Linked DNA regions of Ovis aries. The protein of the gene in region 1 interacts with the protein of each later gene in a pairwise test. Links are inferred from orthologs where the notes say so. Each region holds a gene or a part of one and is shown on either strand. Other genes may lie near its edges. The genes, in order: STX5 and STX3.

Region 1 (16,291 bases):
GCCTACCACAGCCATCCTTATTTAAAATTACAACTTGCTCCTCCAAACCTAGAACTCCTGATTAATTTACCCTACTCTGCTTTTATTTATGGATTTATCACTGGTCAAAAATATACACTGGACCATTTACTTATTACGTATATTCTAAATCATCTGCCCTACTATGATGTACATTCCACGAGGGCGGGGATCTTTGTCTCTTTTGTCTTTGGCTGTATCTCTATGACTGACTGAATGCCAAGCACCAAAGAACAGGATCAGATAAAATGCCTTGTGCAGTAGCAAGGGTACCAGGGACCAGAGGGGCCTTCTGTGGGTTGGCCCTGCCTACCTCCCTCCAGCCTCATACTGCACTTCTCTCTTCCTGTTCATTGCTTTCCAGCTCCACTGGCCTTCTTGATTCTTTAATAAAGTAAGACTGTCCCATTGTATGGCCTCTGTTCTGACTGTCCACACTGCCTAGACTACTCTTACCCTTTCCTTTGAGTGTTTGGATCCCTCTTGTCATTCACGTCTCTGCTTCAATACAAAGCCTTCAGAGCAGCCTGCCCTGCCACCCAATCTGATATTCCTCCTCTGTCACTTTCTCAACACTGCATCCATTTCAGTATTAGCCCTTATCACCACCTGAAAATTTCTTCTCGATTCTTTTTAAACAGTTGTCCTTACTCACTCTATCGAATTCCATACTACAAAGTAAGTTTCACAGAACAGACTTAACTGTTCTACTCATCACCGTATCCCCAGCGCCTATGACAGTGCCTGACATGGAACAGGTGCTCAATTAATACTTGTGGTGTGGATGGAGACAGGTGAACTGGACCTTATGTGTGGACAGGATTCACTCTTCTCTTCCAAAGGGCGTTAAGCTGTCCCTGGGGACCTCTAGGATGCCAATCCACAGGGAAGACAAGGCTTCTGGTTTTGAGATTAAAGAGAGAAAGTGTCTCACCTCTGAATGGTTTCTTCCTGTTCCTTAACCATGTGTGCCAACTGCTGGAAGATGGAGCCCAGCTCAACAATTGTGGACTCAATGTTCTGCATGGTATCTGCCCGGCTCTGGATGTAAGAATCCTTCAGAGGAGAGAGAGCGTACATGAACACCAGGAGCTTCTGAGGGTGGGTCCTGCCTCTCTGGGGCTTTCCAGTTTGCCATTCCACCCACAGCACATTCCAAACACTTGCTTGTGACCACACAAGAAAACAGGGGAGCAACTCCTCCCTGCCTCAGAGCGTGGATACCTGCTCGTCAATGAGCTGCAGCTGCTGGCTGGTCCTAGAGTCCATCATGTCAATGGCCACATCCCCAGAGGCTCGGGACTCCGCCCCCAAAACCACAGCACCGCCCCCTGTGGGGAAGAAAGACAGCATGGCACTTCTTAGCAGTTAAAAGGTTCAAAGCCCATATTCTCTGGATTTGAATCCCAGCTCTGGCACTTACTAGCCTTGTGACCCTGGACAAGTCATTTAACCTCTCTGAGCCTCAGTTTCCTCACCTGTAAAATGGGGGATAATGACAGTTGCTTTCTCAAAGGGTGGTTTTGAGAATGAAATGACAGACTGTGAATATAATGACTAAGTGGACCAAAAATTTAAAAAGCTCATTCTTTTGAACATGACTGGATTCACCCTCAACAGGGAGAATGCTGGAGACTAGGTGTGGACCATAGATCCCAGGCATCAGGAGTGACCTCTGAGAAAGCCTAGCAACTTCCTTGACCCTCCGCTCTCCTACCCAACCCCTGCCTTAGGGAGATACCCTCAGACCCAGAGTCACTAGGCCTTACCCTCAGGGCTCCCTGACTTGCCTGTGACTTACCCAGGTGGTTGGGGGCAAGGGGCAGGGCTGATACAGGCGCCCGGGAGAACTGCTCCCGCCGGCTCCTCTGCTGCTTCAGGTTCTGGGTTTGGGGAAGAAATGCAAAGGTCCTGAGGCCTCTGGAAAGCGGGCACATTAGATTCCCCCTGCTGCCCATGACACTGTTGCCCTTGCCCTTCCCACTGCCCTCTGGGGCCCTCATGCCCAGATTCCTATCCCTCCTACCCAGCTTCTTCTCACCTCTGTCCTCACTTCTAAAACTGACTTGAAGTCGTTGGACATGGAGGCCAGTTTCGACTAGAAGAGGAGGAGAGAGGGTCAGCCAGAGAAGACAACGCCTCCTCCCTTCTGCCGCCCCCTCTCCCTGGTCCCACCTGCAGGGAGACCACGATGGTGTTGGAATGGGTTTGCAGATGCCGGCCGCTCTGGCTGCCCTTGGCCCTCACGAAGTCCTGAAGCTGGGCGATTTGTTTGTTGAGGCTATTGATGTCCTGGTGAAAGAGCCAACGGAAAAACAGTATCAACCGGGGGATGGGGGGGGGGGGGTCCTTAGCCAGTGCCTTTCCCACATGGACATCGCTGGCAGGGATGGCAGGACGGACATACTAGCAGGGGTGATGCTGTCTCAGTCAGACCAGAAGGGCCTGCTGGTGCAGTCCAACCTCTGGAGCTTGCTCTGGCTCAGTCCTTGAAGAGTAGAGCCGGAAAGAGGTGAAACATGGCCTCGTCCGTTTGTAAAGAACTGAGTTGCTTACTCCCTCCACCCTACTGCCCTACTCACTACTGTGAGGCCCTGTTCATGGCCACAGACCCCTTAAAAGGACAGAATCTCAGACCCAGAGCGTGCTGACCAACAAAGCATCTGTGCTGTACTCAGGAGATGGGAGGAGTCCTAGAAACATCAATGAAATGGTTTCTATATACACAATTCCTTTTAAAAAATTACTACTGCAGGGACTTCCCTGGGGGTCCAGTGGCTAAGACTGCACTCCTAGTGCAGGAGGCCCAGGTTCGATCCCTGGTCAGGGAACTAGATCCCACACACCACAACTAAAGAGCCCGTGTGCTGCAATGAAAATTGAAGAATCTTGAACTGCAGTGAAGCTGCATGCTGCAACTAAGACCTGGTGCAGCCAAATATATATATGGGCTTCCCTGGTGGCTTAGATGGTAAAGATTCAAGAGACCAAGGTTCAATCCCTGGGTCAGAAACATCTCCTGGAGAAGGGAATAGCTACCATGCCAGTATTCTTGCCTGGACAATTCCATGGACAGGGGAGCCTGGTAGACTTATACAGTCCATGGAGTTGCAAAGAGTCAGACACGACTGAGGGACTTAAACACACACACATATTTTAAATTATTTTAAATTTCTATTTTAAATTATTCTAATTAATATATTTAAAATTACTATTGCAAAAGAGTGAAAGGTGTAACTCATCGAACTTTATACAGGAGTTAGTAGCACAGCCAGGCTTTCTACACGAGGCCGGTGGATCCTCTGCTTTCCCAATCCTGCCTGCTGAGGGCCTCATAAAACAAGGGAGATGAAGGACTGACCGGGAGTGGCAGAGAAAGCTTGCCCCAGAGCAGCTAGGTCCAGGGCAGGACCAGAGGAGAAAGAGGAGGGGGAGGGGAAAGGGGTCACAAATAGCTCAAAAAATAGGCTAAAAAATACTAGATCAGGCAACTTCTAGAATCCCTCCAACAGTCCCCTGAATTAGTACCCCAGCCCCAAGGATTCTCGAGTCCCCTGGACAATTTCTGGTACTGACAGCCATGTAGCCGAAATTGTATTCCAGGTTTTCTCCCGTAAAATCTCCTCCCCCAGGAGCTGAGAAAAAGCCACTACTCCCCACTTTGGTGCCCAAGCTAAAAGCTTCTAAGTCACATATGGACAACTCTTTAACCCAACCTCTATGCAACAGCACAACGACAACCTTCACTGAGCGTTTACTATGTATTCAGACTGTGTGAACAGAACAGCAGCCCTGGGTTTGATTACCGTGCACCACACAACTTGCTAAGCAGCTTATGACTTTCTCTTCAACTTAACACAGAAAGCAACTCTTTATCCCCCACCTGCCCTGAAAAGCTATTCTGCCTTCCTCTGTGCCATTTTGGTAAATGGCACCACCATTCACCAGCTGCTCAGACCAAAAACTTAGCAAGTCATTTTCAATTCCTCCCTTCCCTTAATCTATAAGGAACCCACAAAGAACCCAGCTGATTCCAACATACGCTCTGAATATGTCCACTCATTTTCTTCTCTAACAAAGCCACTCTAGTCCAAACTGTCCTCTCTTGAAAATCGCCCAGAGCCTTCTAAGTGACCTTCCTTTCAGAGTCTGCCCCCAACAAGCCATTTTCTACACAACAATCAGAGTGATCCTCCAAACCTAAAACAGGGCATGTATGTCATCTCCACTCTTAAAATCTTCTAAGAGCTTCCCACTAAATCTAGAAAAGAGTCCACATTCCTCACCAGCTTACATAGCTATATGGTCTTGGTCTGCCCACTCCTCTGGCCTTACCCCCACTGGCCTCCTTCTCACTGGCTGGCTGCAGCCACACTGGCCTCTTCCACATGTGTCAAATGTATCAAAGTCACTCAGGCCTCAGGCCTCTCCCTTTGCTGCTCCCACTTTCTAGAATGTGCCCCCTCCGATCTTTGGATGATCAATTTTTTCCTTACCATTCAGGTCTCCATGTCCCTTCCTCAGCTAGGCCATCCCAGATCACCCCATATAAAGTGTCCCTTACCCTGAGGAGCTCACTCTCCTTATTTAATAGGATGTCCCACCACCTGAAATTTATTTTCTGTTTACTTATATACTGTTTTGGAGACGGCAATGGCAACCTACTCCAGTACTCTTGCCTGGAAAATGCCATGGATGGAGGAGCCCAGTAGGCTGCAGTCCATGGGGTCGTTAAGAGTCAGACACAACTGAGCGATTTCACTTTCACTTTTCAGTTCCATGCATTGGAGAAGGAAATGGCAACTCACTCCAGTGTTCTTGCCTGGAGAGTCCCAGGGACAGGGGACCCTGGTGGACTACTGCCTATGGGGTCGCACAGAGTTGGACACGACTGAAGCGACTTAGCAGTAGCAGCAGCAGATACTGTTTGGTTCACCCACTTGGAAACGAAGTTCCCAAAGGCAGGGATCACATGGGTCTTTTTTGTTGTTGAATCCCCAGAACCAGGCAGCCAAAAGTCACTCAGTAATGTGAGGGATTGAAAAAATAAACCAGTGAAGCCTCACAACAACCCTGCAAGGTGGGCACTATTATCATCACCTTTTTCTTTAAAAGGGGTGTAGCCTGCCAGGCTCCCCCATCCATGTGATTTTCCAGGCAAGAATACTGGAGTGGGTTGCCATTTCTTTCTCTAGGGGATCTTTCCCCTTCCTTCTCCAGGATAAGGTAGCTTACCCAAGGTCATATTATAAGTGGTGAGCCTGGGATTTGAAGTCTGTCTCAATCCAGTCAGTGGTTACCTATGCAATAATTCTCCAACAGGGACTTCCCTGGTAGTCCAGTGGTTAAGAATCTGCCTTGCAAAGCAGGGGACTCGGGTTCAATCCTTGGTTAATGAACCAAGATCCCAAATGGTCTGAAGCAACTAAGCCAAGATGCCACAACTACTGAGCACACACGCCGTTAACTAGAGAATCAGTGCACCATGAGGAAAGATCCCCCAGGACGCAGTGAAGGTCCCACGTGTCACAACGAAGACCTAATGCAGGCAAACACATAAATATTTTAAAAAGAGTAATAACACCACCCCAAGAGTTGATGGAACCCTCTCCCATTCAGCACAGCATCTCTTCAACATGTCTGCCCTTTGGCCTCTGCCATAATCATCTTCATATCGGACAACTGCACAAGCCTCTACCCTCGCCTCTCTGCCCATTCATGCTCCAGGGCATTTTTTTTCCTCCCACGGACATTCAATTTCTCACGTTATCCTTATTACATTATTCTGGGAAAGAAACAAATCATATCGTTAGAGCTGCTATACCAGTGTCTTGCAGACAGAACTGGAACCCAGGTTCTAACTGTCTTTGATTCTACACTCCTTTGCAAGCCCCACAATGGTCTTTAAAACCAGCTACCAGTCTACAATTTCAGCCTCATCTGCTGCCGATCACTCATGTGATCAACAAGCATTGAGCAACGACTACATGCCAGGGAATTCCCAGGTGGCGCAGTGGTAAAGAGTCTGCCTGCCGATGGAGGAGACACAAGAGACACAGGTTCGATCCCTGGGTCGGGAAGATCCCCTGAAGTAGGAAATGGGAACCCACTCCAGTATTCTTGCCTGAAGAATTCCATGGACAGAGGAGCCTGGTAGGCTACAGTTCATGTGGTCACAAGGAGACAGACACAATTAAACAATTGAGCACACTACACGCCAGACCCTGTCACAGATGTCTGGGATCCATCCGTGAACAAAGAGAAAGAAAATTTCTGCTCTTGTGGCATTCCCATTTGTTATTTTCTTTTTTGTCCAGGAGGTAAGTGGGAGGAAACAAACAACAGACACAGCTTTATAGAGACTGTTAGAATGTATCAAGTGCTATAAACAAGCAAGTAGAGCCAGGTAAGGGAGATCGGAGCTGGAGGGGCTGGGGCATTAAACAGCAAGATAGGCCTCCCTGAGCACAGGACATCTGAGCAAAGGCTTGAACTCTTCCCTTTTATGAGACATGCCGATGCGCACTGTTTCCTCTGTCTCAAATGTTCTTCTGGTGCCTCTCCACAAGCCTCGAAACCAGCTCCGTTTTCACCTCCTCGATAAAATCTTTCCAAGTGTACCCAGAATCTCGTTCATCTTTTTGTATGATCTTTTCTGTGCCACTTGCTGCCTATTCATTGTAAGTGTGAGTTTATGGGACTGGATACCTCTTCCAGACAATAAGCTCTTAAAGGCTGGTATCTGCCTCATAATGCTTGTGTGCTAAGTGTCCAGCTTTGTACATGGTAGATGACCACTGACACAACAGAGGAGTAGGATGTTTGGAGTTGGCTAGAGAAACTTGCTCTGAGACTCTAGAGCAAGGGAAAAAGATGGAAGTGATGCAACTGGAATGCCCGACTCTCCTGACCGCTAGTCGCTCACCTGTTTGATGATATAAGTTAGCTCCTCAATTTCCACTGCCTTATCGTCAAAGAGGGACTTGCGCTTTGCCACTGCAGAGACAAACAAGAAGCCACCACAGGTGAGGTCGGAGACCAGACTCAAGACAGTATGGTTCCTCAGCCCTCCGGTGTTCACTGCCCAGCTCTGAACGGTTCAGGAACACTCACAGATTGTCAGCTTCTCCAGCTTGGCAAATGTGTTGCTGAGGTCTTTCCCAATGCGCCTGCAAATGAGCACAAATGAGAACACTGTGGAAGGGAAGGAGAGGGCCTTTCCCACCTTAGCACCAGCACAACCAATCCCAGTCCTCGCCACCAAGGTCACCGCAGGCAAGACTACCTCTCCTCAGACACCAGCCAACCCACCACATAACTTCTCCCAACTTACTTGGCCATGAGGGTAAATTCACTGCGTTGCCGGACAGCACGCAGAGCCGGCTTGTTTGTCTGGATTCCATTCTGAAAGGCAACGTCAAAAAGTAAAACTTTAGTTTTCCCTCCCCACTGCCAGCTTTCACTATTCCCCAGGTATCCTCTAAACTCGCCCTCTAGCACTAGCGGCATCCTCTGCTGGACAGGCCACACAAAATGTGATGCCACCACTTACTAGAAGGGGGGTTGGGGACAAGTGACTTAAACCGCTCTGAATCTCTGTTTCCTCTTATGTAAAATGGAGACAATTCTACACATCTCCTTTTGTTGTTGCTAAGATTAAAAAACATAAGGGTTATAAATTATTTTAGCCAAATACCAGGTCCATGATAAGCACTGAATAAATGGTAACTAGTATTACCATTCTATTCCTCCAACTGGGGAATTGAGAGGATGAACAGGAAGCTCTTGGAGTGGATATAGAAGAGCAATTGTAAACAAGAACTGAGCAATAAAAATATTTAAAATCACAGTTACTCAGTTTCCACTTGGATTCAGAAAGTCTGGACCAAAGGAATCAAATTTTTTAAAAAAACACTCCCAGGTGATTTTATTAAAATTACTTTACTTGGAAAGTTTCTTTCATTTTACAGATATAAAAACTGAGGTCCAACTAGATTAACTTCCATGTTGTCACAAAGCAAACTTGGTAGAATTATACTGGAATGAGAATTTAAAGCGTTTGTCTCTGAGCTAAATAAAGGTTTTTTCTAGAACCTGTTCCTTATCCAAACCAAATATACTGTAATCACTTCTTGCCCTGAAGTATTCGTTACAGAATAGCAACCCTAGATTCCTGATTAAATAAAACAACAACAAAGTCTGGATCCTTGCCTCTAGATTAGCTAGCCCAACTTTTCTCTGCTGCTTGTTAGATCCTACCATCCCAAGCTGGACCAGGTCTCCATCAGGCTCCCCCAAGAATTACGGTGCTGGAGCATCCCCTCTCCCAGGTTTGAGTAAGACTCACTGCCTCTCCCAGTCCAGGTCCTTACCTGACGGCTCTGCAGGGACTTGCAGGCTGACAGGAACTCCTGGGTCCGATCCCGGCAGGACATGGTGTCGGGAGGGGGAGGGACCAGGGCCACTGGAGGGGGCAGAGGGGCGATGTCGCTGCTGCTACTGCCAGCAGTTGCAGGGGACAGGACCTGTGTCTTTGAGAGACCCAGGTAGACACCCTGATCCGTGTTCTTAGATCCGTACCGTTTCCGCGGGATCATTGAGACGCATAACCTCGGACTGTGGTGGAGGGGAGAGTGTCATTCCCCAGGCAGCCTCCTTCTCCACCAATCCCCCCGCCCCAACCAGCAGTTCTTCGGGGCCCCTCTGAACTTGGCACGGAGTTTCGAGCCCGAAGCCACACGCAGATCCTGGGACCGGCCCGCAGCTGACAGGATCCTGCTTCATCTGCGGCCCAAGCCGTCCCCCTCCTCAGACTCTTCTTCCAACTTGGTTCCGGCGGCCACAGCGCGGGCCGGGGCCCTGAAGTAGAGGCAGGGCCAGAGCCAGGTCCTGTGGCTCCAGCCCGTCCCGTGCAACTGCCCCAGGCTCTAACTGGGCCCTCTCGTATCCAAGAGTTCCTCCGACTCCTCAGGGAGAAACGGTGACGGACCACCTCAGAGGGACACACTTCGGTGGGCGGAGGGGGGAATCTCTAGGTGTTTATTTGAAGCAGGAAGTCCCACCCTCGCCTCGCCCAAGTCCCACCTTCTGGAAGTCTGCAAACACTGATTAGCTAACGCGGACGTCCTTCTTAAAGGGGCTTTTCCAATTGGACAGCGAGGTATTCGCTCACTCCGAGCCGGGCCGGCAGGACTTGCCCGCTTGGCCCTGGTTCCCTTCCCCCCGCCCGGCGCCGTCCCCGGAAAGAGCGGCCCAGAGCAGGCACGGCAGCCAGACCCTACCGAGTCCTACCTCCTTTTTGCCGCCTGCCGCCGCCGCCACTGCTACAATCTCCCAGATCGTCACCTCCTCCTCCCCCTGGAGCCGAAGCCGCCGAAACCCGACCAAAGACTAGAAGCCGCCACGTCACCCACACGTAACCCCACCCCCGGTGACGGGAAGGCGGTGCCACGCCTCTTAGAGCTCGGCGACCCAAGAGGCACGCCCCTCGACCAAAACGCAGGTGTTAATTCGCCCTCCCATTGGCTAGGCTACCCCTGTGGCCCCGCCCCCAAGGAACTAGAGCCGGGGCCCCAGGGGACTGGCCAGCCTCAGGGATGGAGCCTTAAAGAGCCCGCGACCCTGGTGGTGCCCGCGCTCTACGTGCCCAAAGCAGAGGCACAAGCGCTTAGGCAGGTACACGTTAGAAACTTTATTCTCTGAAGGCTGCGGAGGAGTGAGAACGGGGCTGGAGTCACCCCTTCTCCGGCTCCTCCTGGATCCTCTCCTGATCGCACTCCTGGATCCTACTCGCCGGCTTTGGATTCTGGACTGCCTGCCTCTTGGTTGACCGAGAGGAACCCCGACGGCTGAACATGGATAGCCGCCGCCACAGCACAGTGATCAAAAGACTTTCGTTCGACCTGCGATCCCGTTGCTCCACCGAGTCCGCATCAGTGCCTGTGAGGATGCGAGGCTGCTCAGTTCTAGTCTCCCTAGTCCAACCTCCTGGTGGTCCAGTCCCCACTCCCAGCTCCCTGGGCCCCCTGGTGTGTCTCCGGTCCCACCTTCTGACCCGGCCTCCTTGGCCTGCTCATCCGAAGTCTGAAAGTCCTTATCTTGGCAGCAGCCCATGGCCCCGCATGCGGCCCTGCACTCGGTGCCACCCACGCCAGCCGGCAGGTTCCTGGCCCTGCTTTTGTGACGTCAGATACCCCCACCACCCCAGCTCAGGGAGCCGCCACCACTTTCTCCCATCACAAAAGGCTCAAGGTCATGGTACGTTTTAAGCTGTTTATTTACAAAGTGAGCACAAGCTCTTCAGGAGCTGGTGGACCCAGGCCGTTTCTTCTTTCTCTGTCTGGCTTGGAGAGTGCCTTGGGTCTGCTCCCAATCGGGGAGCTTCCGCTTGGCAGCTGCCTCCAAGGAGGCCCAAAGTTCATCTGTCTCTGTGTCTTCTGAGGGCACCTTGCTGGGCTCCTGAGGCTCTTGCGGTTCATCCTGGTGAGTGGGAGAAGCCCTCAGGAGTCAGAGGTACAATAACAGACCCACAGGGAGGAGAATCATTCCTCCAGGCACCACCCCTTGTTTCCTGCTCCTAAAAACCATGCCCATCCATGCTCCTGGACTTCCTTGGTGGCTCAGCTGGTAAAGAATCTGCCTGCAACGTGGGAGACCTGGGTTCAATCCCTGGGTTAGGAAGATCCCCTGGAAAAGGGAATGGCTACCCACTCCAGTATGCTGGCTTGGAGAATTCCATGGACAGAGAAGCCTGGTGGGCTACAGTCCATGGGGGTCACAAAGAGTTACACATGACTGAATGTCTTTCACTTCACTTCATCCATGCTCCTATGTTACCCTTGGCAATGACCCTGTCAGGACTATACCCAGCAGATGGATGGACAGTCTCAGGTCTAAGTTCCAGCCGCTTCCCTTCCCTCTTCACAGAGAGATCCTCATACCTGTACCCTTAGCTCCCACATTCCCAGACCCAAGAGCTTACCTCCCAGTTATCCCTGCCTGACAGGAGGAGGCAGTTCAATTGAGATTTGAGATAAACCTAGAAGAGATGAGGGACCTTAAGGGGCCAAGTCTGCTGAAACAGAAATAAGAATGGGGGAGGGAGGAGGGCACAAGAGGCAGGAATGAGTGGTTTCTCACCTTATGCTCCAGGCCCCGTGGATTCCGGATCCTGTGTATCCTCAAGATTCTGTCCAAACCACAGGAGGCTAGTAGGGGCTTTGAAGGGTGGCACTGCAACCCTCGGACGCTGCCTGCCAGTCCCTTTAGACAGCCCAGCAGGCGCCCTGGAAAAAGGGGGCAGGTATCACTGCTAACTGGTCAGCCAACAACCATTTATTGAGTGTTTTCTGTTCAAATCTCTTTCTTTCACCATTTAATCCTCGTTTAACATAATGCTGACATGGCAGTTAGCATTAACATCTCCATTTTTCAGGTGAAGAAACTAAGGCACAGGGAATTGACAAAGTAATTTGTCCAAGGTCACACAGTTGGCAGAACCAGGATTGAACCTGGTTCTGGCACCTGAAAGAGGGCTCAGCAGCTCCACCGCCCCGTCAGGGGGGAATCCTGCCCTTCCTCCCCACCCCTGACCCCTGCAAGGCTCCCTGGTCTACTCACCTTGCCGGAGGTCAATTTCTGCCAGCTGCCCATGAGTATTCCCCACAATCACTGAACTGAGGAGGAGAACCAGAGAGACACACATGGGGTTGGTCAGCAGAAGCCCCCGAGTCCTCCCCAAGCCCCACTTTGCCCTCTACACACTCACTTGCCCTCAGGAGTGAGGGTCATGGCTGTCAGCGGGTACTCTCCGTAGGTGGCCTCAAGGACTGGCCTGCGCTGAGGGGAGGCTGGATCATAGACACGGACCTGGAAGAAGGCTGAGGCATCACCACAGCACCTTGACTCTGCATAGCCCCCTGGCACCTCTACATCTTCACTTCCCCTCATTTGTTGTTGTTTAGTTGCTAAGTTGTTTCCAACTCTTCTGTGACCCCATGGACTGTAGCCCACCAGGCTCCTCTGTCCATGGGATTTCCCAGGCAAGAATACTGGAATGGGTTGCCATTTCCTTCTTCAGGGGATCTTCCCAACCCAGGGATTGAACCCAAGCCTCCTGCATTGGCAGGCAGATTCTTTACCACTGAGCCACCAGGGAAGCCCCCCTACCCCATACACTGCTTTTACAATCCACTCTTTCAGAGAAACTTTCTCATTTGAAACACACCCTTCTTCTCTGAGTGCTGAGGAGTAGAGGAGAGCTGCTGAGGAACACGAACATATAGAGCTGAGAACAGAGGTTCCCCCAGGCTAGGAGCAGCAGCATCCCCATGGTCTGCATGTGTGAGCTTTCCATCTATACTCCCCTTTCATGATGCAAGAGCAAGCTGGCCCAACTGTCAGAGTTGCTGAAGTCAAACAGAGAAAAAAGTTAAGCCTGGACAGGAAGGAGAGAGGAAGCCCTCATATGTGTTCTGAGCAGAAGTGTATTACCAAGAGCAGACTTCAGTATGCAGAGCAGAGGAAGCAGGGCAAATGTAGCCCCACCCAGTCCTGCCTGGGTCTTAGAATTTCAAATTCCCTGGTGGTCCAATGGTTAGGACTCCGAACTTCCACTTCAGATTCGATCCCTGATCAGGGAAGTATGATTGCCACGCAGCGTGGTCAAAAAAAAAAAAAAAAGCCCAGCTGAAAAGATCCCCAGTTGGGCCTTTCCTATACAGCTGAGGAGCAGAGACCAGCCAGATATTACAGATACTAGAGGGTCATAGTTGGGTCCCAAAGCAAATTAGAGACTGCCATCAGGACCAGAACCCCGTTCTCTTGATACCCAGTCCATTTCTTCTCATAACATGGGCCCCACGTGATTCTACTATGAAGGGGACACTCCCTTCTTTCTTCCAGGTGGGAAGAAAAGGAAGAATTACAGTTCAAGCAACTCCTTCCTAGAATGTAGTAAGTGAAGGTCACTGGCTTAGCCACTCGGCTGAACACGCGGCTGGGGAAGTGGTCCTTCTTCTGGGAGCTCAGGGATGACTCAAGGATGGAGAGAAGAGTGGCTGTGCCAAATGGTGGGGACCGAGCCTGCAAAGAGCAAGCCTCCTGTTTCTCCAGGAAGCTGTATGAGCCCATAAAAAGTTAGGGGTTAGATGTGTGCCTTACCTGGTGGTACCCTGTACAGGTGACGAGCTTCTGTGACTCTGGGAGGAACTGTATGTCCTGGTCCCAGATGGGAACCCGCAGGTCGAGCCAATCATTCCGTACCTGGTGGGGTCGGTAGATAAGGGACAGAGCTGGGAGGGTCTCAGTGTGTCCCTTCCTTCTGCCCTCTGTCATCATCCCCTACAACCCTGCCAGTCTCCAATTCAAAATCAGTGGCCTTGACTCATGGGAATTCGGACCCAGGTCCTCTCCACCCACCATCACTCACGTTCTTGGCCCTGAACAAAGGCTCCTCAGACCCCTGCAGGTCCCACACCTTCAGAGCATTCTCCTTCCCACCTGTGGCAACGATGTGGGGGCGTGCTGGGTCTTGGCGCATCCTACATACCCCAGGGCCCACCCTCAGTTCCAGGAGCTGAAAAGAATGAGAGAGCGGAGATGAGAGTCACTTCCAGATCCTTAATCCTCCTCCTCCAAAGCCTTCATTGGCTCTACCCTGGGCCCCACCTTCCCCAACCATCAGGATCAGGATGAGGGGGGATCTCACTGGGTCAGAGGATGCCTCCTTGTCCTGGTCAGGCCAAACTCGAAGAATCCCAGAATCCACACATGTGATGAGGGTGCTGCAGGCAAAGGGAGGATAGAGTTAAAAGAGCAGGGGTAAATGGCATTCTCTGTCCCCAGTCGACCCACCCCCAAATTCATATGAACTAGACTCCCTCCTACCAGCCCTGTTCCTAAGGAAGCCTCCAGGTAACTCAGGTCTGGGCGGGGCTTGATGGCTGTTATTTAATTTCTCGTCAAGCTAATGGTTTACTGGTCTTATAAGTAAGGAAAGTGAAGCTACAAAAAATTATAAGATTTGCCACTTAGCTATAAATGTCAGAATCAGAGCTGCAATCAAGACTGTGATACTGCAAAGTCTTTGCTATTCCACAGCTCCACCTGGGGCACATGGCCCTGCTGGTTTTTCTTGATGTGGTCACCAGGAGTCAGAGCTCTGAAAGCACTGAATTGGGACTGCTCTGGATTTAGTGTTTGGTCAGAATCAAACACCAGCTTCCTCTCTCAAGTTCCCTGTTCTGGGTGTCAGACCAGACAAGCCAATCTCTCCCCAGGATCTGTACAGCCCAAGCCCTCTGCTTTTTCTCATATCTGCCCACCCTCCACAACTAGGTTCAGGCTCTGGGTTTTCCTGGGCTGTGGCAACAGTCTCCAATCCATCTCCACGTTCCTGCAGGCTCACAGCTCTGAACACAGTGTTTCCTGCTCAGAAACCAATCATGCCTCATTACCTACAAAACCGCAGATTGCTCAACCTGACACTTAAAAGCACTTTGCCTTAAATCCCAACTTACCTCGTTCATCTTATATTAAAATGCTTCCTCATAAATTTTTAAAAAGGGGGAAAAAAAAGTTTCCTGGGCTTCAACCCCCAGTTCAGTTTAGTCGCTCAGTTGTGTCTGACTTTTTGCGACCCCATTGACTGCAGCACTTGAGGTTTCCCTGACCATCACCAACTCCTGGAGCTTGCCCAAACTCCTGTCCATCGAACTGGTGATGCCATCCAACCATCTCATCCTCTGTCATTCTCTTCTCCTGCTTTCAATCTTTTCCAGCAGTTCTTTGTATCAGGTGGCCAAAGTACTGGAGTAATGCATATTCAGGACTGATTTCCTTTAAGACTGACTGGTTTGATCTCTTTGCAGTCCAAGGGACTCTCAAGAGTCTTCTCTTTAACCCCCAAATGCTGTTTATCTTCCCTGTGATGTGCCCTGTAGCCTCACACCAATCCTTGGCCTCTGCTCAAGCAGGAGCCTCCTTCTAGAATGCCCTTACTCCTTTCTCCATCTGTCAAAATTCTACCCAACCTTCAAGGCCAAGTTCAAATATTCCTCCTCCCCCGCTCCAGCCTTCCAGACTCACCTGTCAGAATTAACCTCACCAAACCTACAGTCAGCTCATAGCCTCTCTCTTCACCTTCAGAAGAAAACTAAGCCTGCAACCCAGCATTTCTTATTCTTTAGGAGCTTTGCCACTTTGTTAGTGGTTGTTAGCCCGCATTTAAAAACATATTCTAAACTTCCCTAGTGGCTCAGTTGGTAAAGAATCTCCTGCACTGCAGGTGGTATCCTGCAGTGCCGGAAACTGGGGAAGATTCGCTGGAGAAGGAAATGGCAATTCGCTCCAGTATTCTTGCCTGGAAAACCCCAGACAGAGGAGTCCAGCGGGCTGCAAAGAGTGGGACACGACTGAGCGACTAACACTTTTACTTTCAAACTATTAAATAACGTGCTCAGGGTCATCCAAAAGGTTATTATGCCAAAAAACAAAACTCTGGAAGTAGCGAACTCTATGATGGCAGATACTGTGGTTTACCTAAGCCTTTGGATTTTGCCCAGTGCCTATAAACAACCGAATAAGTGTTCCATAAATGTTTGTTATAGGAAAGAACGGACGAAGGCAGGAAAAACGTCCCTGTCACGCAGACCAGGTTCATGTCACCTCAGGATTGATTGCCACTACTCGGTCGTCCAGTGGGAGCCTCAACGCTCTCGCTACGACCTGAGCGTTTCTGCAAGGGGTTTGGTCTTACCCGTCGACCTGGGCGAGGCCTCGGAACGTGCCCTCCCCTCCAGGACATTGCCTCTGGCCCTGGAACCTGCCTTCCTCGGTGCTGAAGTGCTTCACTGTCCCATCGGCACAGCCCACTAGGATCTGCGGGCAGAGGAGCACAGGATGGCGAGGAGAGCGAGGCGGCCGCGCCCCAGACTCCCAGCTCCGACTCTCAGCGGTCGCTCACCTGTGTCTCGCCATCCGCACCCCAACACAGGGCGCTCACCGCCTCTTCGCGCCGGGGCTGTCCTGACGCCGTGAAGTTCGCCGCCTGTTTGCGCTGAAGGTTCACTCCTGCGGGACACGGACGTCAGTTGAGTCAGAATAGCGAAACGGCGAAGCCCGCAGTTCCCGACGCCCGACCTCGCTACCCACCTTTCAGGATGCCAGTGTCGGTGCCAACCCACACATGGTTCCACGGTGCAGCCGCAGCCGCCATAGCGGAGCTCGGGAACCCAAGGCTCCCACTTCCGGCGCAACGCCTGCGTCACCAGTC
Region 2 (15,585 bases), on another chromosome or scaffold:
GTTTCCCAATGACAGGAGAAGATCACATTTCTACTATGATTCCTGATTTTTAGCCTAGTTCAAGTTACTCTTTTGAGGTTAGAATATCCTCATTTCCAGTTCCCTACTTCCTGAGAGACGCATGCATATATGTAGATACATGTCACACACACGATTATAAAAATACATCTGGAACACACGAAATACTCACAGCTGCCCCCGTCTGAAAGCTCCCAGAGCCTGACCCTCAAGGACCTGAGCCCCGGCTGATTTTACAGGCCTGGTTATTCTGGGCCTCCCCGCAGTGAACAGCAGCTCCCCAGACCCAGATACGGGAACGGTGACGCCACAGCCCAGCCTAGACAGACAGTAACCTCAGATGACGGTCTCAGGCGGTGCGTCCCTGAGTCCACACGAGGAAGGACAGCAGAGACAGAGGTGGAAGGTGGCCACGGAGCTCAGCACACTGGGAGCGTCGTTTCAAGGCTGCACTTCAGAGAAGGCAGCTTCCGAGACCACAGCGACCTCTGCCCGCGCCTCCTGCTTTCAGACAAGGACCATAAGCTGGGAGGACTGGGATCCTGCCAGGCAGGAGACTCCGGCCCAGGTCTTACTGTTGCCAAACTTGGAAGAATCCCCTTGCTTTGTTAAAGATATCCCACTTTAAAACAAACCATTACAGTGCTGGGGAGGACACTCCGTGAGGTAGACAGTACAGCACCTGGGGAGGTCTCGGGTGGGCTCCCCAAGGCACAGGACACAGTCTGACACGTCGGAGGGGAGACGGAAGCCGGTGTGGTTCCCACAGTCCCGGAGGAGGCGCTTCAGAGCCGGTGGGGTAGGAAAGGTGGGGAGGCGCTCAGGCTCCTCCCGGGCGAGACCGTTTGCCGGGTCAGGCCCAGGGGTGGTTACAGGGAAACAAAGGAACGGGGCTCCCTCTCTCAGGAAGGCCATTCACACTCTGCTCCCATCTGAAGGCAGGGGTGGCGGCCACACCAGGCTGGGGTGAAACTGGGCTCTACGCCAGGCGGGGCGGGGGGAGATGCTGGTCGGGTCAGCACCCCGGGTGACGGTGAAGAGTGACAGTAAGACTCAGCCACACACCTGGAAGACGGAGAGGAGAGATGAGCTGCACACAGTCGTGGAAGAGTCAACACACACCCGACAGCCGACAGGCATCCGCGACGGGGCCTGAAGGAAGCACCAGCATGCAAGAGCCCAACGTCCTGGTCTGATTGAGATGCTCAGGTATACGCAACTCTTTGTGACCCCACGAACTACAGCCCGCCAGGCTCCTCTGTCCATGGGGTTTCCCAGGCTGGAATACTGGAGTGAGTTGCCATTTCCTTCTCCAGGGGAAATTCCTGACCCAGGGATCGAACCCACATCTGCTTGGCAGGCGGATTCGTCACCACTGAGCCACCTGGGAAGATCCAAAAGCCCTGTTACAAGAGACAGAAGGGGAAAAAAGGGAAACCCCTGGGCCTCTTAGAACCCTTCCCAGGGGCTGTCAGCTCTGAGGGGGGACGTGTGGGTGGCGAGGCACGGTTGCTGGAGAAAGACACCCGTGCTGTGTGCAGGGCCCCCATCAGCTCCTTCCGAATGCGGCTCCGAGGCCTGCTGGCACTGGAGTCTTCTCACTCCCTCAGCGCCCACCCAGCCTGTCTTAGAAGCAGAAAGGCACAGCGAACAGGACACGGAAATGTCCAGGAGGCCTGTCACGGCGGCTCTGCCTTGCGGGCTGAGCTCCACCGAGCTTCCCCAACGAAAATGGGGGGGATACTGTTATCCTAGAGCACAGGTGGGGAGCACGGACGTCGGGTGTTTCTGTTCTGAGGTCTGACTCCCGAGTCCAAGCCTGTGTGCCGGTCGGCCTGGACTCAGTCAGGGAACGGGGAAGCGACCCAGCAAGGGCTCAGCAACTTAGCATCTTAGACGTCGGGTAAGTCAGCTAAAAACAATGGACTGATCTGCCTCCTCATTTTACAAAATGATTTACATTTTGAATTCCTGGAATTAGGGATGGTGAGGGGCCCTGTGAATTTGGAAGGCATCTTTCATCCATGGATTTGGAGAGACACTGACTATTATACCTTTTCTTAATGTTAATATCCTTTCCAGAGGGATTGTGAAGCGTCAGAACGAAATTCTACAAACAAAAAAATGTCAAGGACTAGAGTCCCAGTACCAGGAGGGAAAAAAAGTAAATCAGTTAATTACTTATGCGAGATCAGTCACCTAGTGGATGTATGTATCAAGTTGAATGTTTAGGGTTAAAAATAATCTGACTTTGAGATCCTCTAGTCACATGGGAGGAGGAGGAAGGAAAAAAAGGCAAACAGGCAAGAAGTGAAGGGTCAGCTCTGCTATCACGTCTGTGTATCTATTACCGCAGTAACCCACCTTCCATGAATTTGTAAGAAAGAGGAAAACATTATAAAAGTTAATCATACTGTTAGTCATAGCAAAACAATAATAGCAAACCTCCAACATTGGGAACATGTTGAATAATTGAGAGTATAGTCACAATCTTGTTGAACATGAGAGTCCCAAAGAGATTTGAGTGTTGAGAAATGATGCTTGTGACCTTGTGACTGGGTACCAAACTGTTGATAACATAGTCTGAATGATGTAAAACCTCATCCGAGTGTGTGAACGTGCCATAAGATTATTGGCAATAATATTAAAAGTTAATTCCGCTCACCTTTTCAGCGTTTACCAGTCTGTCCTTAACCATACATAATGCTATGTTTTAGTCAGAAAAACACTTGAGAAGCCTCGGAAGTCTTCGCAGTCCCAATAACAGGTCTCTTGTGCCATGCTGTGGCTACATACATGAAGCCCTGAGTCAGTGGCCAGCTCTATTGTTTTTACCAGATTTTTTACAAATTAATATCCTAAATTTTAAAGTCGCCATCCTCTGAGGCTCTCTAGACTTTACAGACGATGATAAATGGCCACCTTGTTTTACGAAGAGTAGCTCTGACAGAATTCCCCTAGGTCCACTATTAGCTGTGTGCTCAAACTTGGCCCTGTTACTTAACTTCTCTAAGCCTGAGCATCTTCACCTATAAAACAGAGATGATAACAGCGCCTGTCTCCTGAAGGTGGTGTGAGGAGCCAATGATGCCTGTATTAGGTGTTGGCACAACTGCACACTCAAAACACCTTAGCGATTGGAGATCCAGCCAGTCAGCCACTAACACAGCCCTACAGCCATGAACCCTGACTCAAAGCTCCGTTTACAAGGAAAGGAAGGGAAGGCAAAGCCCAAGAGCCCTGAAAGACAGCGAGAGCTTGGAGGACATACCCCGGATCCCGGCTGGAGACTGCACCCAGCTGAGGAGCAGGCTTGCTCGGGACCGGGAGTGAAGGCAAGGTGCTCGGGAAACGAGGAACACATCGACAAGACCAGAGCCAGACCCCTCGGGGTAGAAACCAACGAGAGACCGAGCCCAGCTGCAGCCAGGACCCAAGAAGAGGACCAGACGGAGGTCAGAGCAGGCACAGGACTGACAGTGTGAGCACTCGGCGTGTCTGCGGACAGCCGGGAGAGGAGACGCAGGACCGGAAATCCCAGGCTAGGTTCTCAAGAGCGAGCCGGTCCAGAGTCCCGAGAGCCTTCCCTTTACTTACATGTCAGCACGGCCGCCCTTACTTCAGCCCAACGGAAAGTCCGATAATCAACGCTAAAAGGCCCAGCAACACAACTACTATCACAATGATAATTACCAATTTCTGGAGAGAGGGACAAGAGAAATAAAAACAAGTCATTATTACAAACCACCAAAAAGCCGCAGTCAGCCATCCAAAACCCACCTCTGCACCGGAAGCATCTTCTCGACCCAGATAGAGTGAAATGGAAAGCTGACATCCCTACGTAAAGACGCTCTGCTGGGACCTCCTGTTAAGTTGCCTCTGCACTAGCAGTGCCAGCAGGTGTAAATACGGAGCCTCTTTCAGCTCCGAGCTCACACTGCAGCCCTCACGTGTGGACAGACGTAACCGCAACCGTCACGGGGTCTCTAAGCAGCAGTAAACCAAGGTATAACGGGACTGAGCTTTTCCTTTTCAAGGGGAGTATGAAGATGTATTTGACACAGTCCTAAATGCAAATTCCCATCCATCTCTCCCCCAAAGAACACTCCCACCTGTCAAACCCAGGACAGTGACTGAGGGCCTGAAAGTACAGGTCCTGTTGTGAACAGGACAGGATTCATCATGTGAAATAACTTCCCAGCTCCCTAGACACCTGCCCAAGCAACAAGTTGGAAGAAAAAGAACTGAAGAATGGAAATATCAGAGCACAAAGTCAGAAAAGAGCAGGCTAAAAAGCAAACCCCACCAGAGCTGGCTACTGCGGTGACTGGGCAGAGATGCTCCAAGCAACAGGGACACCAGAACTAAAGGTGGGGGCAGGCAGTGGAGCAGGATGAGGTGATGGGAAGAGCCGGGCTGGAACCCGAATTTGAATCCCAGGTTCCTACGCTTCCTAGGTGGCCAGGGACTAAAGTGATTCTCAACTGTTTGATCTAGCAAGTAGAAAACACAGGTGTGCCCTGAGCGTTGACACAGCCATCAGCACACAGCCGGGTTCACAGCAGGGAAGAGAGACCAAAGAGGACAGGTGTGGGCCGAGTGGAAGGCAGCGCAGAGGAAGCTCCTAAAGGGCAGAGGAGCCGCGTGATGCCGGATGGGCCAAGAGCTCTGTCTAGCAGAGCAGCAGCAACGCTGGGCAGTGACGGGTCCATCCTGCAGAACTGCCTGCCAGTGTGGGCTCTCGGGTGGAGATGGTGGGAGCCAGATCCATGCGGGACACGCCAGGGAGGGAAGGGGAGCTATTCCCTAGGGAGAGCTGATGAAGGAGGAGGCTGGACAGAGGGAAGGCAGGGGGATCTCAGGGACATGGATGGGGGCGACCAGGGAGAGGAGAAGCCGGCTGGTCCCGCCGAGACACGGGGCTCACCCTGCGAGCTTCACTCTGATACTTGACCGCCTTTTTGGTGTCTGCCACGGCCCGCTCCACGAAGCCCACGGACTGGTCCATGTTGTTCTCAATACGGTCAATCATGGCGCCCTTTCCCCGGATGCAAGAGGTGGCGGCAGCAGAGACAGAGACGGGGAGAGGGAGGAGACAGCGAGAGAGCGCACACGATGGACCTGTCCTCTGAGGGTGGCGGGGGGCTCACCTTCCGGGCCTGACCCTGGTACTTGACGGCTCTTTTGGTCTCCTCCTGAGCCTTCTCCACGTGGTCCACCGTGTGCATGACATTCAGCTCTATGTTATCTAACATCTCCCCCTGCGGAGGACAGAGTCCGGTCACACCCTGGACACGCACCCCGGGACGGTCCCAGCTCGCGTGCGAGGCCATGGGGAGCGCCTGGAAACCTGCCCATGCGGCCTTCCACGGGGTAACCCTGCACACCTCCCCGTGGTGGCCGGTGCTTTCCCAGGCCGAGGCGGCGGCCACCCGGCCTCGAAATGTCCACTCAGTTATGTCTTGCCAGACAGCACCCTGCACACCAGGAGCACGTGGTCTAGACACCTGGAATATCCTGAAGGGTGCCCCGCGCCCCTTTTTCTTAAAATGAAACGTGAGAAGAGAAGCCAGAACGCATCTCTCGCGCTGCCAGGAAGGCTGGCCTCTTCCTGGTCACTCAGATGTGAGCCAAGCTCGCTCAGTCTGGACCAAGTGCCCACTACTACAGAAAGTGCCTGGTGCACGGCAGGTGCTCAGTGAACAGCTGAGGTGGGGACGCTTGCTTTCTCTAAGGTATCCCCAGGCCCTGTAAGTAACAAGACGTTGGTTTTACCTGAGTTATCTGGTTAAGAGATCATGGTCACTCAGCAAGATTCCCGACCTTTCCCCAGCTGTTACTTCCTGACCTGAAGTTCAGTCTTCCCAATTGATTTCTGTGCATCTTAAGATGGGAATTCCCTCCACCCACCTAGACCTTCATTCCACGCAACCCCTGGCTTTCTGCAGAGAGAACGGCACTTACCATCACTTGAATCTCAAACCAGTTCCTCGGCAAGGCAGTGTGGGGAGAAAAACAAGAGTGCAGATGGAGGGACGGGAGGAACGGTCTCCAAGGGCGAAAGGGGATGGAGCAGAGGTGCCCGAGCCCAGAGCAGGAAACGTGTCAAAACCAGCCACGTGGCGCTCGGGCGCCATTAGGATTCCTGCTACACGGGAAGCAGGTTCTGATCCTTTCCAGGTGGCAGAGCCACTGGGAGCTCACGGTGAGGGTGGCTCCACACCGTTGCCTGGCGGTGAATTTAACTGCACCCTAAGAAGCAGGGGCCAGGGGACCCGAGACACTGACCCCACAGGCAGGGAGCAGGGCCGTCCGTCCCTGGGCAAGCTGGCCCAGAACGGAGCAGGCTCCGTGAGGGACTCGAGTTTTCCCGTTGATATTATTTTTGCTGTCCCTTCATTGCTTTTGTTGTTCCTCAGCAAAAAAAAACAGTCAACATTTTTGGAAAAACTCATACAGAAGAAAAAGCAAAAGTGGGAAAACACAAAAATCTCTGTGACACCTAACTTTCCACCATAAACTGGGGGAAAGACCCCATGTTTTCAGCGTCACCAGTGAAACGCTGATAGTTCCTATCAGAAGAGTGTTTTAAGGCATCACCATTAAGAACCCGCGTCACTAATAAAAATTAACAATGATGATGATCCCAAGGCCGGAGGGAACAGGTACATTACAGAGCACTTCACACCTCACGTTACATAGACATGACTTCCAGGCCAGAGTAACCAGCAGGAATAACAAGGAGGCAACCCCCTAAGCGTCAGCATCCCAGGTGCCTTCCTCTACTGGGGTACTGGGATTCTGGGACTCCGCTACACCAATTCCCGATGCTTCTCCCTCCCGACTCGACCCCCCCGTGGCTTTCTCGGACCCCCCCGCCCTCCTCAGGAAGCCCCCTCCCCACCCCCGCGGAACCCAGCGCCTCACCTGGTTCTCCACCAACATGGCGATGTCGATGAACATGTCGTGAAGCTCCTTGATGCTGCTCTCCAGCCTCACGATGTCCTTGTGCCGGCCCTCGATCTCGCTGAGGGCTTGCTTGGAAATCTGAGAGTCGATGATCTACAGTGGGCCGCAGAGAGATGGACCGTCGGCCCCCAGGCCCGCCACGGCCCCCAGGACCCCTGCGGGCCTCCCACCCCCCAGCCCCGCACCATCACTCACCCCCGAGGTGAAGAGGGCAGAGTTCCCGCTCTCCAGCATCTCCTCCAGCTCCTCGTCGGTAGTCTTTTTGCCGGCTTTATAACAAAAGAAGGAGAGCATCAGATAGAAGATCAAAGCTCATCATTTCAAAAGCTTCCTGAAGACGGCCATGTTCCGTCGCTCAGTTGTGTCCAACTCTTTGCGACCCCGTGGACTGCAGCCCACCAGGCTTCTGCCCGTGGGACTTTCCAGGCAAGAATATTGGAGTGGGTTTCCATTTCCTCCTCTGGTGGATCTCCCCAACCCAGGGATCGAACCCATGCCTCGTGTGTTTCCTGCATGGGCAGACAATTCTTTATCACTGAACCACCTGGAAATCCCAGTGGGAGCACAGTGGCCTCTAAAGCCTGCTCGCCTTTCTCCGATGTCTCCCCTAACCCCATCCAGCCTCAACCTTATCAGCAGTTACCCTCCTGAAGTCTGTGTCGGATTATATTCCTTTCCAGCTTGGAACATCTCCTGGCCCCCTTCACTCTGCCACCGGGTCCAAAGTCCTCAGGACAAAGGGCCAGTTCCCAGGTGAGCCCTCCCTCCAACCGACTTACCCCACCCTGCTCTGCCCAAGCGCACCCTGTCCCCAGGCCCTGGCCGGCCTGCCCTCCCTGCCTGCGACCATGTCCATTTAATTCCTGCACTCAGAGCATGTTCTGCGCTGTGGAGCCCTGACTGCTACTGATTCCTAAAGTTACTCCTAAAGTTACCGATTCCTAAAGGGTAAGGCTGTGTTAACTCCTTTACACAAACGGGGCAACCTGCACCACTCCCTGCTGTCAAAGAGGCAGCAAAGATGCCATGAGCCCCAGGAAGCAGGTATTTCCCTCCATGGATGTGGAAATGCTGGTTCCCATGGCAACCAACACTTGGACCTGGTAGCACGGAGCCACCCTCTTTCAGCCTAAGACACGACATCCAGGCGGCGGCAGTGCCGTGAGCCCCGTCCTTGGCTGGGGCACAAAAGGGAAGGCAGAAGCCACCTGGAGGCCCCGTCTCCCTGGCCCTGACGACCGGACAGACCAGCGCCCGACAGGCCAGGAGGGGGCACAGAACGCGCTGCAGACACGCACTGATCTCGAGCTGCCGCTGGATCCGCCCTTTGCTGCGCTCACGGAAGTCCACCTGGGCCTCGTTGTACTTGGTCATCACCTCCACAAACTTCCGGGACAGGACGGAGTGCTGCGGGGACAAGGTCAAGGCTGTGAGCCCCCAGGAGCGAGGGGCACAGGCTCAGCGCCCCGGCCCCAGCCTCGCCCACAGCAGCACCAGACCCGGGACCGCGAGGCCTAGGGCAGCTCTTGGCAGGAAGGCAGACTGTGCAGCCACTGGGGACTGAGATTCCTCCAGAAACTGAGGATGGAGCTACAATGTGGCCCAACAACTCCACTCCTGGGTGTGCGTGTGTGTGTAAATATATGCATGTGTAAAATATGTGCGTATATATCTGTGTAAAAAGTACTAATTCAGAACGATACGGGCACCCCAGTGTTCACAGCAGCATCACTCACAGCTGCCGCGAGACGGAAGCCCCCCAGGCGTCCATCAACAGTGGACTGGATAAAGAAGGTGCACACACACGTACACACGCACGCACAGGGAATGCTACCCAGCAGTCAGGTGTGAAACCCTGCCATTGGTGACAGCCTCGGCTGGTCTAGACGGTATCATGCCAAGTGAAACAAGTCAGAGAAAGACAAGTACTGTATAACATCACCTGATATGTGGAACCTAAAGAACACAACGAACTATGGCCGTAACAGAGAGGAAGCAGACTCAGACACGGGGAGTGAGCTGGCGGCGGCCAGCGGGGAGGCGGAGAGGGGGCAGACGCGTGCGGGAGGGGAGGCACGAAGTCCTGGTGTCAGACAGGTTCGAGGATGCATTCTACAGCAGGGGGAATATACCCAAGATTGTGTGAGAACTATAACTGGAAAGTGATCTTTCAAAAGTGTGAAAGAAATGAAAAACAAAACCCCAAAGGCCAGGGGCAAGACTCGGTGTTTCTGGCTTCCTAACTTCACACCACGGGGAAAGCCAGCTCACCTTTTCAAAGCATGTTTTCAGTTATCTGTTAACCTGTCTTGCTGAACTCACAGAGTAATTGAGGCCAAAGGAGATACTCTGGGAATCCCAGAGGCCCTGCCCGACTCCCCTCCACATCCAAAGACCCTTGCGTTCTTACTCAAACGGATCACCCAGCTTTTCCTGCTTCAAATCTTCTTGCTTCTGACTCAATGCTTCCATCAACAGCCCTGGTGCCTAAACTCAAATCATCATCATTTTTATTCCTTGCCCACTTCTCAGCATCAAGACCCAACAAAGGTTTTTCCTTTGCCAAATCACCAATATCTACACTTTTTTAAAACCCACCATCACCAGGCAAATTCAGACCAAAATCACTGCAAAAACCCAATGAGAGACCCACGTGCCCCACGCTGAGCCAGTTTTCAAATGGCTAGCAGATTATCCTCCTAACAGACTGCAACCCAAAGTAAATGCATACCAGCTAGTTGATCAGATCCAAACTCCCGAGACCGCAGTCGAAGGCCCCTGGAATATGGCACTGGGTTCTCTACCAAAAACGCAACCCCCACTATCCTGTGACAAACTTTTGTCTCTAGACAGACTGTTCTCTTCACGTCTGCCCCTACCCACCCTATACCACCCCTACTCTACACACACCACTCCTGCCCACATGCCTCCAAGGACAACCTTTCCCTGAGCCTGCCCGCGCTGACACCCTGCCCACCCAGGGCCCAGCCTCCTCTGGGACCTCAGTCCTTCCAGGCTCTCCCGATGCTGGGAGCACAGGACTTGGTCCTATCTTCCTACCCTCTCTCCTGCGGTCCTATGTCAGAGCTTCCTTGTGGCACTGGAACGTCATGCCCGTTCCTCAGTGACAAGGGTCGTATCTTTCATGACCGCCAAGCAGCCTGACTCCAAGCTGGACAACCGACGACCAACAGTCTCCAGAGAGCAGACTTCAGTTTCCTCTCCTGTAAACCAAGGAGGCTCACTACACCTTCCTCTGTGCTCTGGGAACCTCAGGCGCCTCCTGAGAGGACGGTGCGAGAGGGGCCACCAGGGCTGGTCTCAGCCCTGTCCCCCACTCTGACCTGGGCAGCTCCCCGCTACCAGCTCTTCACACTGAGTTCCAAATAAGGTCTGTTTGTCTGTCTGTTTTTAGAGATCCACAGCTAGAAAAGGGAACTCTCCTACATTGTCGGTGGGAGCGTAAATGGTGTCATGGAGAACAGGAGGGAGGGTCCTTAAGAAACTAAAAACAGAGCCACCATACGATCCGGCAATCCCCCGTCCTGGGCACAGATCCAGAGAAGATGAAAACTCTTAATTAGAAAAGATACACAGACCCCAGTGTTCACCGCAGTACTAGTCACAAGAGCCAAGAGATGGGAGCAATCTGTGTCCATCAGGAGATGAGTGGATAAAGAAGACGCGGCGCAACACTGCCGCGAGAAAAGAATGAAATACGGCCACTCACAGCGACGTGCACGCGCCGGAGAGTCTCTCACTTACACGCGGCAAGGCACAGACAGATGTCATACGACATCACTGGTATGAAGCATGTGGAGTCTAAAAACCAACACAAATGAACTTATTTACAAAACAGAGAGACAGCAAACTCATAGTTGCCAAAGGGGAGGTGGGGGAATAAATTACGAGTATGGGGCTTACACATACACACTGCCATATATGGAACAGGGTCACTGCGCAGCACGAGGAACGATGTTCGATATCCTGTGATAACTTACAACGGAAAAGGGTCTGAAAGAGCAAGACACACGTGCGTGTGTGTATGTCCTGACCGAATCACTTTGCCGCATCTGAAGCACCACACTGTGATCAATTCTACTTCAATAAGTATTTTTTAAAATTTAAAAAGACTCCACAGCTAAGGGAAAAAAAATTTTTAAAGACTGGGATAGACGGTTGCTAGGCCAAGAATCTCACCTGGGATTTCCGAATCCGAAGGTCTGCCGACGACCGCACCTCGTCTTCCTCAATATGCCTCTCCATGCCTGGATGGGAGAGAAGCTTATTCTAGCAACGCAGCCCCTGCTCTCCTCCAAGAAACTCACCGTGCGATGCAGCCTCCTCTCTCAAACACACACACCGGCCCAGGAGACCAACGGCAGGCAGGTCCTGTCTCGACACCCGGCTCACGTCTGAGCCCCAGGACACCTTCACTGCAGGGTCTCACTCGGCCATGCCCCAGCGCAGCAGTTAACAGCACGAGTCCCCATCACCGAGAGACCCGGGCTCAAGTCCCTTCCCAGCCACATCCCGGCACGCCACCTGGAAAAGCCGCGAGCGCTCAGCCTTCCTGGTCTCCGCTCTGTACAATGGGCACGCTGCAGGGCCCCCCTCGCAATGCTAACATGGAAATCAAACACGAACACGCAGACAGGGGCACAGGCTCACTGCCGGACTGGAAGCGGCCACCGGAAACCTCCACTCCATCCCCATGGAAACAAGCAGTACGGTCCAAAGCGGGCGAAGAAATGATACCTCAGGCTCAGCAACGCCACTTTCTCTCCCTGACCAACGGCGCGCACTCATCACCAAAGACAGTAAGTGGGGCAAGAATGCAGACGACAGCCTCGGACCTGAGGAGGCTTCTGGGCTCCCAGAGGAACTGAATCTGCGACAGCGGCTTCACAGAACGCTGCCCCAGCTGAGGGGTGGGAGGGGGCGTGGGGGGAGGTGACACACCTGGCCCCCAGGAGACGCCTGCAGACGATCTGCCCGGCATCCTCGTATCACTGACAGCACTGCTCACACGTGCGCAGCTGCCGGGGGAGGAAACGGGACCAGGAAAAGGCGAGGGACTGAGTTTAGGGACCCGAGCCACCAGACATCCACCAGCTGAAAGCACACACCGCTCCCGTCCCCAGGCTTCAGTTCTCGCCTCACTCAACCACAGACAAAGCTCTGGGGCTATCATCCGTCACGCCAAGACGGAGCCCAGATCACGAGCAAAGAGGCCACGCGCGACGTCACCCCCATGAGGACGTGTTCTGCCGCAGGAGGGCTGGACCCCAGACGCGGGGCGGCTGGGGGGCTGGCTGCTCCCTTAGCCCCTTACTCTTCAGTTTGTTCCGCACATTGTTGGCCTTCTTCTTGATCTCGGTCGTGAGCTGCTCCAGGTCGTCCTTGGTTTCTGGGTAAACAAAGGCCGGCAGAATCAGTTAGCAGAGACTGAACACTTTGTCAGCGACAACAATCAGCAGAGGAGGCGTAGTGCTTTCTCAGGCGTCCAGGGCAGTACGCATCCCCAGGGGCTCCCCAGACACCCATCATCAGAACGCAGTGAGCTTAGCTTTTAAAGGCATTTTTCCAGGCACCCTGCCCTCGACCCGCAGAATAAAAACACCTCGTGGAAGAAAAGGAGGGTCTGGGGAAGCATTCCAAGCAGAGAAAACAGCCCAGGTGTGCCTTCCAGAAACCCAAGGCGGGGGCAGAGGCAAGGCACGCCGGCAGCAGCAAGAGTCCCCGCCAGCCACGGGGCTGGGCTCGCTGGGAAGGAGACGAGAGTCTGGCCCAGTGGAGCCAGGAAAAGCAGAGGGGACGGGGGCGTCCCTGGAGTCCAGTGGCTAAGACTCCGCGTTCCCAATGCAGGGGGCCCGGGTTCGACCCCTGGTCAGGGAACCAGATCCTACAGGCCCCAACTAAAGAGTCTGCATGCTGCAACAGAGAGCAAAGATCCCGCGCGCTGCGGCGGAGAGCCGGCGCGGCCTCGGAACAGACAGGCGCCAACAGGGCGGTGAGAGCAGGGGAGGGGGAGGAGGGCGGCGGTGACACGCGGGCACGCGGGCCTGAGGGAACACGCCCTCCCCTGCGACCCCCAGCGGGACCCGGCGGGCGCCTGAGCCCCGCGCGGCACTCACTTGGCTCGGGGATGGGCGCAGACAGGATGACACTGTGGAGCCTCTTCACTTCCTCCAAGTGCTCGGAGATCTTGTCAATGTTGACGCGCGTCTCCTCGATCTGTGAGCAGAGAGGCGTCAGGAGGGGGAGCCTGGCCGCAGACCAGCAGAGCTCCGCGCCCAGCGCCGCACTCGTGGAGGGAGGCGGTGGCCCCGGGCAAGCCTCCCGAGGCCCACGGCCCCAGGGCGCGCCCGGCCCACCCCATCCAGCCAGGGAGGGGCGCGCCGGCAGCCGTCCACGAGGCTCCGGCCTCACCGCTCCCTGAGGAGCCACCGGCCGCCCACCTCGGAGGGGGGTCCCACCTCGGAGGGGGGTCGCGGCTGGAGTCAAGAAGAGCCAGGAAAACCCAAGGAAGCGTCAGAGGGAAGGCTCAGGACACCGGCAGGGCCTCCGCTGCTCCAGAAGCCAGAGCCACAGTGAGCAAGAGGGAGAGGCAGGGAGACAGCAGAGAGGCAGACAGCGAAAGGGAGAGAACGGGCGGAGTGAGACGCAGCGAAGGGGGGGGGGAGAGAGAGAGAGAGAGAGAGAGAGAGAGGAGAGGCAGGAGAGCCGCCCAGGAGAGGCAGGAGAGCGCCGAAGCCCGGCTGCCCGGCGGGACTGCCCAGCGCCCCTGGACACGCCTCCGACCAGCTGACCGCCCTGGACGACCGTCGGGACCCTGGAGCGTGCCCGCCCGTGCAGAGGCTCCTCAGCTCCAGGTGTGCATGGGAAAGTCCCGGGGCTTCCCTGGAGCCCCAGCGGCTAGGACACCCCGCTCCCAGTGCGGGAGGCCTGGGTTCAATCCCTGGTTGGGGAACCAGAGCCCACGGGCTGAAACCAAGAGCGTCCACACCACAGCTGAGGAAGCTCCTGCACGCTGCTGCTAAGACCCGGTGCAGCCAACTGAATATAAAGAAAGCACCGGGAGGCGTGCCTTGACCCGCATGGACCCTGCCACCCGCGTGTGAAGCTCAGCCTCAGCTCTGTCTTCACAGGCACCAGGTGCCCCGGCCCCACAGCCCCTCCGGGGGTGGCTGCAATGAGCAGGGCACAGCTGGCTTGGAAGAGGTCTCGAAGCCTCCACAGCCACCTGCCTGCCCTCCACAGTGAGGGGCATGCCAACACGGCCACAGTCAACAAACAGAAACCTCGTAAGATGCCACACAGGAGGGTCTTAGCCCCTGAGATGCAACGGAAAGACAACTCACGATGCAGCTTCCAGCAGCCCTTTCCTCCAATGAACAATCCACTTCTTTAAAAAAAGGAAAAGAAAACCTGATCACAGCTCTGCAACTGGCAAAGCAAGCGGGGGAAGGAACTCGAGTCCTCGTTTATATTCACTCGTATTTCTGCTTGCACTGGGTCTTCGCTGTGGTGTGCAAGCTCCGCAAGGCAGGGCGTCTCTCGCTGCGGAGCACCGGCTCTAGACGCAGGGGCATCAGCAGCCGCGCCCGGGGCTCAGCAGCCGCGGCCCCAGGCTCGAGGCACAGGCTCAGGAGTGTAGCAAGTGGGTCAGCCGCCCCGCAGCACGTGGGGTCTCCCAGACCAGGGGTCGAGCCGGCGTCCAGCCCTCTCATCCTCTGTCGGCCCCTTCTCCTCCTGCCCTCAATCTTTCCCAGCATCAGGGTCTTTTCCAGTGAGTCAGTTCTTCCCACCAGGTGCCAAAGTACTGGAGTTTCAGCTTCAGCATCAGTCCTTCCAATGAATACCCAGGACTGATCTCCTTTAGGATGGACTGGTTGGATCTCCTTGCAGTCCAAGGGACTCTCAAGAGTCTTCTCCAACACCACAGTTCAAAAGCATCTATTCTTCACTGCTCAGCCTTCTTTATGGTCCAGCTTTCACATCCATACATGACTACTGGAAAAATCATAGCTTCGACTAGATGGACTTTGTTGGCAAAGTAACGTCTCTGCTTTTTAATATGCTGTCTGGGTTGGCCATAGCTTTCCTTCCAAGGAGCAAGCGTCTTTGAATCTCATGGCTCAGTCACCATCTGCAGTGATTTTGGAGCCAAAAATCAAGTCTCTCACTGTTTCCATTGTTTCCCCATCTGTCTGCCAAGAAGTGATGGAACCGGATGACATGATCTTAGTTTTCTGAACGCTGAGCTCTAAGACAACTTCTCTCTCTCCTCTTTCACCTTCATCACGAGGCTCTTTAGTTGTTCTTCACCATAAGGGTGCCCTAAGGGCGGTGTCATCTGCATGCCTGAGGTTACTGATATTTCTCCCTGCAATCTTGATTCCAGCTTGTGCTTCATCCAGTCCAGCCCAAACAGGACCCAGGTGACAGGAGCTGTGACCCCACAAGAGACTGATTCAGACTTGCCTCAGTGTCCAGGAGTCTCCGGCGGAGGCGTGGGCCGGCGGTGGCCTGCTGCAGGGCCGGGGGCACTGAGTGTAGCAGTGCATCATGGGACCTTTTGACGGAGGTGCCATT

The links.
Region 2: the proteins of STX5 (region 1) and STX3 interact in binary tests that used the Homo sapiens proteins (3 or more experiments, as listed by UniProt). The link is inferred for Ovis aries from reciprocal best matches to the Homo sapiens genes STX5 and STX3.

What each region holds. Positions count from the first base shown.
Region 1 is NC_056074.1:37,667,533-37,683,823, forward strand, and holds the start of STX5 (syntaxin-5), read right to left. Parts: upstream 9,451-16,291; 5' UTR 9,310-9,450; intron 8,635-9,309; 5' UTR 8,616-8,634; coding exon 8,391-8,615; intron 7,423-8,390; coding exon 7,352-7,422; intron 7,188-7,351; coding exon 7,132-7,187; intron 7,015-7,131; coding exon 6,944-7,014; intron 2,311-6,943; coding exon 2,194-2,310; intron 2,117-2,193; coding exon 2,060-2,116; intron 1,902-2,059; coding exon 1,820-1,901; intron 1,350-1,819; coding exon 1,243-1,349; intron 1,075-1,242; coding exon 953-1,074; intron 1-952. Other genes in the region: TEX54 (testis-expressed protein 54), read right to left, coding at 9,752-9,957, 10,065-10,131; WDR74 (WD repeat-containing protein 74), read right to left, coding at 10,318-10,497, 11,000-11,056, 11,158-11,303, 11,638-11,693, 11,786-11,886, 13,180-13,281, 13,448-13,594, 13,727-13,802 and 3 more. UniProt on the Homo sapiens protein: Mediates endoplasmic reticulum to Golgi transport.
Region 2 is NC_056068.1:81,557,672-81,573,256, reverse strand, and holds part of STX3 (syntaxin-3), read right to left. Parts: intron 13,225-15,585; coding exon 13,125-13,224; intron 12,398-13,124; coding exon 12,323-12,397; intron 11,256-12,322; coding exon 11,188-11,255; intron 8,395-11,187; coding exon 8,286-8,394; intron 7,257-8,285; coding exon 7,183-7,256; intron 7,081-7,182; coding exon 6,946-7,080; intron 5,280-6,945; coding exon 5,043-5,279; coding exon of another isoform or gene 4,946-5,042; 3' UTR 3,718-4,945; coding exon of another isoform or gene 3,634-3,717; 3' UTR 1,084-3,633; coding exon of another isoform or gene 1,072-1,083; 3' UTR 1-1,071. UniProt on the Homo sapiens protein: Potentially involved in docking of synaptic vesicles at presynaptic active zones. Apical receptor involved in membrane fusion of apical vesicles.